Caenorhabditis elegans: one gene and its partner. The protein of the gene in region 1 purifies or fractionates together with the protein of each later gene. This does not show direct contact. Each region holds a gene or a part of one and is shown on either strand. Other genes may lie near its edges.

Evidence for each region.
Region 2: the proteins of aos-1 (region 1) and snx-3 fractionate together in Caenorhabditis elegans (co-fractionation; one large-scale study listed by BioGRID). This does not show direct contact.

Annotation. Positions count from the first base shown.
Region 1 is NC_003283.11:10,128,561-10,132,488, reverse strand, and holds the start of aos-1 (SUMO-activating enzyme subunit aos-1), read left to right. Parts: upstream 1-2,193; 5' UTR 2,194-2,194; coding exon 2,195-2,289; intron 2,290-2,335; coding exon 2,336-2,513; intron 2,514-2,561; coding exon 2,562-2,830; intron 2,831-2,877; coding exon 2,878-3,225; intron 3,226-3,928. Other genes in the region: wdr-20 (WD repeat-containing protein 20 homolog), read left to right, coding at 1-180, 228-993, 1,039-1,145, 1,277-1,558, 1,612-1,721. UniProt on the Caenorhabditis elegans protein: The dimeric enzyme acts as an E1 ligase for smo-1. It mediates ATP-dependent activation of smo-1 and formation of a thioester with a conserved cysteine residue on uba-2.
Region 2 is NC_003279.8:9,062,625-9,066,322, reverse strand, and holds snx-3 (Sorting nexin-3), read left to right. Parts: upstream 1-1,919; 5' UTR 1,920-1,924; coding exon 1,925-2,020; intron 2,021-2,062; coding exon 2,063-2,128; intron 2,129-2,174; coding exon 2,175-2,395; intron 2,396-2,483; coding exon 2,484-2,589; 3' UTR 2,590-3,045; downstream 3,046-3,698. Other genes in the region: rad-54.L (DNA repair and recombination protein RAD54-like), read right to left, coding at 1-40, 140-279, 323-566, 640-718, 1,133-1,236; prmt-7 (Protein arginine N-methyltransferase 7), read left to right, coding at 3,176-3,264, 3,356-3,480, 3,533-3,698.

The DNA of each region.
Region 1 (3,928 bases):
GGAAAGGCAAAGTTCAGCGGAATCCAGTTACCAGGTGGCAAATTGGAGAAGGTTCAATTCACCAGTTCAGTTTCTCTGGATCAGATGGGAAAATGATGGCCACGGTGTCACATGATGGGTTCCTCAGGATTTTCAATTATCATGCACAAGAATTGCTGGCAGTTATGAAATCATATTTCGGTTGGTTCATTATCTTCGAAAAAAATCAAATATTCATGAAATTTAAGGTGGATTGCTTACGCTCTCATGGAGCCCTGATGCAAAATTGATTGCCACTGGCGGCGAAGATGATCTTCTAACAGTTTATAGTGTAGCTGAGAAACGAGTAGTTTGCAGAGGACAAGCTCACAAAAGTTGGGTTAGTCAGGTCAAGTTTGATCCTTATTTATGCACAACCGAAGAAGATCTGGAAAATAATGGTATTGCGATGACATCTACGTTTGACGACGTTGCAAAGGATTTCTCAATACGTTCGGGACCAGTACCATCTACTAGTGCAGATTTGAATTCTGGAGTGATGAATGCAACTTCAACATTCTCTCGTTGTTCACTTGCTTCGTTTAACACTATCAACGGAGCTCCAGCTGGAAACAGTGTCCGTTATCGAATAGGAAGTGTTGGACACGACACATTTCTATGCCTGTGGGATATAACAGAAGATATGTTGAACCAAGGAAACATTCGACGTCATCGAAATTCAACAATAATTGCCCCAATGACTACCCTCGAAGTACAGACGAATTCTCTAGTTGGAAGACTTGAAGATCTTCAGGAAGTCTCTCCTGGTGGTGCTGGTGTTAATGCATCTTCTGATTCACAGTCTATAACTAATAATCACACAACTCCTCGCCCAGAAAAACAAAAAAAGAAGAAATTTACAAAACGTCTAGGATTTTCGAAGTTTACTTCTGGAAGCTCCAGTGCTACATCAAATCCGGTTGGTGGCCACAAAATTGGCACATTGATGAATGGTGCATCAGTAAATTCTGAAAGGTATGTCGATTTATTCAGAATTTATAATAATATGTTAATTTTCAGTTCCAAGAAACAAAACCCCGGGCTAATTTCTCAAATAAGCTGCTGTAACGAAACGCGGATGTTGGGTTCTAAATTTTGTCCAGGGATTCGAGATGTTCCTATGATCGGTAAGCTTATACTTAAAATTAAAATACGATTCACTAGTCAGATCCGGAAAATCGCGAAATTTTTGAATCATTTTTCTATCACGAAAAAAAAGACAAAATGAACGAGAAAGCACTTGTGAAATATTTTTCAGAACCGTTAATGTGCAAAAAAGTATCGCATGATCGTCTGACAGTTCTTGAATTCCGAGAAGATTGTGTTGTGACTGCTTGTCAAGAGGGATATATCTGCACATGGGGCCGCCCCGGCAGATATCAACCAAAACGAGATTGCATCAATTCACCAGGAACAGCAAGTCCGGAATCAGGTCAAAAACCATCTGGATCTACGTCCGCTATGACTTCTTCATATGGATACGGCTCAGATGCTTTGAATGGAGTTCCACCTTCACGATCATCAAGTACCTACAGTAATAGTGAGTTTATTTAATCTAAGAAAATGTCTCTAAAAGTTTTCCAAGTTACTTAGGCGAACAACAACTTCGTTCACCGAATATCACATCCCCGTCATACCGGGTTTCAGCTGCCAGTACTTCTGTTTATCATCGCCCAACATATGCCTGGCAGAATGCAAATTAACCACTCCACTTCGGGTATCTTAAATTTTCTTTACTAGGTTCTTATTCTTTTTTATTGTTCACTTAATCTTATTTATTGTCGTCAAGCGTAATGCTCTGATCTTTAGGATGTATACTGTAACATGATTTTTCTGGATTATTTCTAATTGTAAAGCCCGGCAAAGTTGTTTGCCATTGTTTGCAAACTATGATCACCTGCTCACATTTTTCTTTTATTAATGACTTAACGTTCCAACTTCGCAGATTTAATTTTCTATATTACTGTGCCAGTAGGATCCATGTGCCTAGTTTTTCTTCACCCTAAAACTCACCCCGTTTCATTCTCGTTGTTTAATTTCTGGTCTAATGAATTGTGTATTTATTTAAATATCGTTATTTTACTTCTTCTCGATTTTATTCGGTTCACCTTGCCGTTCATATTAACCATTTTTGCTAAATGTTTTCATATTTTTTGTGATTGCCATAATTTGCAGAATGTCCGAAGCAAAAGAAAATATGGAGGTCAGCAAAGCTGAACAGGCGATTTACGATCGACAAATTCGTTTATGGGGAATGGAAGCTCAAAATAAGTAAGTTTAAATTTTTTCGAATAAAATACTATTGTTTCGTTTTCAGAATCCGAAACTCTAAAGTTTTGATTATTGGTGGAAAACAGCTTGGTGCGGAAGTGGCAAAAACTCTGTCACTCGCTGGTGTTGACGAGATGCATTTAGTTGATCATCGGCTTGTTGATACAGAAGAAATTGGTATGAATTTTCTCTACGACGCTTCGGTTGATAATTCAAAGATGACGGTTTGTAATTAATTCGAATTATACATATCTTATGAACGTTGTTTTCAGAAATGGGCGGCATCATACAATTTTCTTTATAATTTGAACCGCAATGTGAAACTTTTCATCGTCGAGGAAGATGTTCTATCGAAAAATGATTCGGAAATCGAAGAGTATTTGACTAAATTCACGTTGGTTGTTGTTCTCGACGAGAGTTACGAACGTACTGCAAAAGTGAACAATATCTGCCGTAAACACCACATCAGATTTATTTCTGGAGCAATCTACGGATGGATTGGCTACGCATTTTTCGATTTCGATGGCCATGCTTATTTAGTGTAAGTTAAATCGTTTTAAAAGTCTCATCCCAATATTTCTTTTAAAGAAAAGCTAAAAGCCCGGATTGCTTGAATGAAGAAGAATCGGAAACCGGAAAGACGAGCACAGTGGTTACGGTAGATGAAGAATTCGTGCTTGAAACGTTTTCATATCCATCATTTGTCGAAACGCTCAACTCTGATTTCACGGCGAAGAAAATTGTGAGAAAGTGCAAACGGATCGTTCCAACATCATATTTCCTCGTGAAAAGTATGCTCCGCGCTTCCAGCGAAAATAAACTTACCGGAGTCACTGAAAACGATATTGAGAAATTAATTCCAATCTGGAACGAGGAGGTGGCCGCTGGAAATCATACCATCGATATGCAACCAGTTCAACCCGATCGATTTGATCAGTGAGTATTATTCGCACGAAAATTATAAAATGAATCAATAAAAAACATAGAATGTATTATCTTTTTAATTATTTAAAAAAACAAGTTAAAAATGTATCGTAATTTCAAAAAACGGTAGCATTCCGTCTTAAAGACGCACGGACTTATTCATGTGTCTCGATCAGGGCTCTGATCAAAAAACAAAAAATATGCAAAAAAGGTTTATGGTAGTTTTTTTTTTCAAATTTTCGCGTCTGCTTCCAATTTTTTTCTCGCACTTTTCAATGAAACTACTTCATTTTTAACGAATTTTGTCATTTTGTTTTTAACGCACAAATCAACTGTTTTTCATGAAATTTAAAGCAAAAAAAAATTTACTAAATATTAGGTCTCCAAATAAGTTCCGGGTCAAAAATCATAACTTTGTTCGCTGCGAATCGATTTTTATGAAACTGTGGGAATTTATGTTATCAACCATGATCTTTCATTTGCAAATAGTCACAAATTTTTTTTGGCCGTCCGAAGTGCCCTAACTCGGAGCCAATTTTTTCAGGCATTTTTCAGATCTCGCTTCTTTTCAGGTTTCAATTGAGGTTTGTGTGCGGATTTTGCTTAGTTTAATACACAATGTAAGAAAACAAGAAAAGTTTGGAAAAAAATCCCTCCAAAAAAAAAATTTTTGTCGAAAATTTTTGCTTTTTTATACAAAAATGATGTAACCATG
Region 2 (3,698 bases), on another chromosome or scaffold:
GCAGGATTTTTCCAACAACCGGATCGGCTACCACGTGCACCTGAAAAATTTGATAAAATGGACATTCATATTTTTGCAATATTTGAGTCGTTTTTTTTATTCATGTTTTTTTTTCGATTCTCGCAGCTAAAATTCTCACCTTTCGATCCTTATCTTCCTTGAGTTGTGCGTGTTCACTAAGATGTTCAGGAGCATAAAGAATCAATGCACCTTCATGATATGGATCAAATAGAGCACATTTTCGACGGTTTCCACCAAGACCTAGGCTTCGACCAGATACTGAAAACTCGTTTAAAATAAACATTTTTACATGTTTTCTTACACATATATCCCTCCATCGGAATTGAAAACTTTCTCGACAACAACTTCGCAATCATAGCATCGTGATCTGATGATTCGGAAGCCATACGTCTAGAGAATACATCGATATTCACAAAACGTAATGGACTTGCTTCTTCTACAGATACAGGTGGTTCTATGGCAGGCAGTGCCTTCTTTCGTCGTCGAAGACCTTGTTTTGAAGGAGAAACTGACGTAGAAAAAGGGGAAATGAAGGTTTTGTGTATCTGAAAAACATTAAAAATTACAATTACAATTAAGTTCCGAATTGTATTTCATTGCAACTAAAAATATTAATACATTTTTCGGTTCCTCCGTTCGTCCTGAATATCCTAGACTTTTCCGTTTTTGTGTTGGAGCAGTAGAGCTTGTGGAAGGTCTGAAAATAATATACCGCATTTCCTCTATTAGTCTTGCATGCAAGACTAATTTTCAATAGACCCGTAGGGGTGCAAGACTAATAGGGACTGCAAGACTATTAGAGGCTACAAGACTAATTTTCGAAGATCCAATAGCTTTGTTAAATTGGCCATTTATCGTCAAAATTTTGACTTGAAACAGTCTAAATCATGCAAAATACATGCTTTTCTATTGTTTTATCAATTACTTGAACAGTTTAAAATTTAATTTAGCTAAAAAATGGCGAAAATTTTGAAGTTTTGACAAAATACTGCTGGCCTGGCAAGAATAGGGGTGCATGACTATTACCGTATTTCCTCTATTAGTCTTGCATGCAAGACTAATAGAGGGAATACGGTATGTGTTAAAATTTGAATTTTTTATAAAAGCTCACAAATTTTCCGGTGTAACTTCTCGTTTCCTTTTTGGCAGTTCAACTGGGATATTAACATCTTTTCCATGACTATCTTCTAAATTTTCGAACGTTTTTTTTGGCATTCCTGAAAACTAAGAAAATCTTTAATTTCGCAGAACAACTGAATAAACAAGTAGAATTTACAGAAATTCAACAAAATTTTTAAAATGCTCTTTTTATTCAAAAAGAACGGCGCCGCGCCATCTTGAACGAAAACAAAGTTTCGAAGAAGACGAAACACGGACACAGGGCGGTGTCAGCTATTAATTTTCAATTTAACAATTATTTTACAACATAGATTTGTTGTGAAACATTTTTTTGCTTTTGAATCAATTATAATCTTTTTAAAATTTTGAGTCATAGCGAGTCACTGCTTTTTCATTCCATGAATCTGCGGTGTCTGCTTTTGAAATTTCAGTTTGAGGTACGGTTGAATTTTTTGTGTGCATTAACACAAAAGTGTTTGCGTACTTTTGCCACTTTTTTCATTTCTTGATTCGTTTTGTTTATCGGCGCGCGATGAGTCATTTTTGCCGTAATTTCCTTGAAATTCCAGTTTTATTTATTGATTTTTCACAGCTTCATATTATTTTTTCCATTTTAGTTTGCCGAACAGCGAAACAAAAAGCAAACGATGTTCTCGCATGTTGTCGATTAAAGCTTTGGATTCCAACATAAATTTCACTTTTATTTTGTTTATATTGTGAAAATCGATACTTAAATAAACAATTCAAAGCAACTTTGATATAATTTAGAATATTTGCAGTGCAAATGGCATCCGGCGCGTCGGCAACTCAGCGGATCCCTTCAAAACGGCAAACGCTGGACGAGGCATATGCCCCGCCGGCCAACTTCCTTGAAATTGAGGTTTGAATAAAAATCAATGAATTAGATCAAGATAACTTGCAGGTTATCAATCCTATCACTCATGGTGTTGGAAAAATGCGCTACACGGATTACGAAATCAGAATGAGAGTAAGTATAGATTAACACTGACCGCATAATAAAATCGTTGTTTCAGTCGAATCTCCCCGTTTTCAAGCAGAAAGAATCAAGCGTGCGTCGCCGATACAGTGATTTCGAATGGGTTCGTGCTGAACTAGAGCGAGATAGCAAGATTGTGGTTCCAACGTTGCCAGGAAAATCATTCAAACGGCAACTGCCATTCCGATCCGATGATGGAATTTTTGAAGAGGAATTCATTGAAAATAGGCGCAAAGCTCTCGAGTTATTCATCAATAAGTACGTAAAACTGTTCAACTATACGGACATCAAAATGAACTCAGAAAATTTTCACATTTCTAAAAGTTTTAATAATATGTTCTTGCAGGGTTGCTGGACATCCACTTGCTCAAAACGAACGCTCTCTCCATATTTTCCTCCAGGAGCCAACTATTGACAAAAACTACGTGCCTGGCAAAATTCGTACCGCTTAAATTTTAAAATGTTTCTAAATTCTCCGCTCACGAGAAAAATCTCAAAATACCCAGAGTTATAGTTTTAACGCTGTCTGTTTCAATAAACAGAAGGAAACTTTTAAAAAATGATAATGTTTTCTTATCATATTTTTACATAACAAAAAATGAGTAACGCTTTCTGATCTTTTGAGATATTTAGTTTTCAAAAAGTGAGTTTTTAGAAGCTTTTTTCCAATTTAATCTCGGCCCATCAAAATATTGTTTCCATCCCTCCACCAAAATGCGGTATTTTTCGAAATTGTGTACTTTGTCCCCATCACCACTTCTTTCCCATTGATTTCCATTTTCTGGCTCCTGTTTATTTCATATTTATTTTTACATTTTTGTGTATAGTTTCCCAATTTCCCAATTGATTGCACTATTTTTATTGCATGAACCCCTTTTATTTGAACAAATATGAAAAATAAGTCTTCCGTTCCTTGATTTCGTTTCTTTGGATTTTAAAGTGGTAAATTGGCAGTTGTGTGCATATCGCAAATATCTTGAGTGTATCATTAAAACGAGCATATCTTTAAGATAGACAATTTGCAGGGTTTTCTGAAAAATGTTCCTTGAGAAGATAAATCAAAAAACCGGCGAACGAGAATGGGTTGTGGCTGAAGAGGATTATGATATGGCTCAGGAACTTGCCAGGTTTTCAACTTTAAAAAAATATTCCGCATAGAAATAAAATTTAATAAACAATACTTCTCGCATTTTCTTGCTTTAAAACGTTAATTTTCAGAAGTCGATTTGGAGATATGATTCTGGATTTTGATAGAAATGACAAGTTCCTCGCAGGATTAAAAACTACGATTGCTGAGAAAAAACATGAAAATACAGATGGGAAAGTTCATGTTTTAGATATTGGTTAGCTGTTAAGTTTTCAACTTATTCGGTTTTTAAAGTTTACTATTTACAGGTACTGGAACTGGACTTCTTTCACTAATGGCTGCTCGAGAAGGAGCTGATAAAGTGACTGCATTGGAAGTTTTCAAACCAATGGGAGATTGTGCAAGACATATAACAAGCAATAGTCCATGGTCAGATAAGATTACTGTAATTTCTGAGAGATCTACTGATGTTTC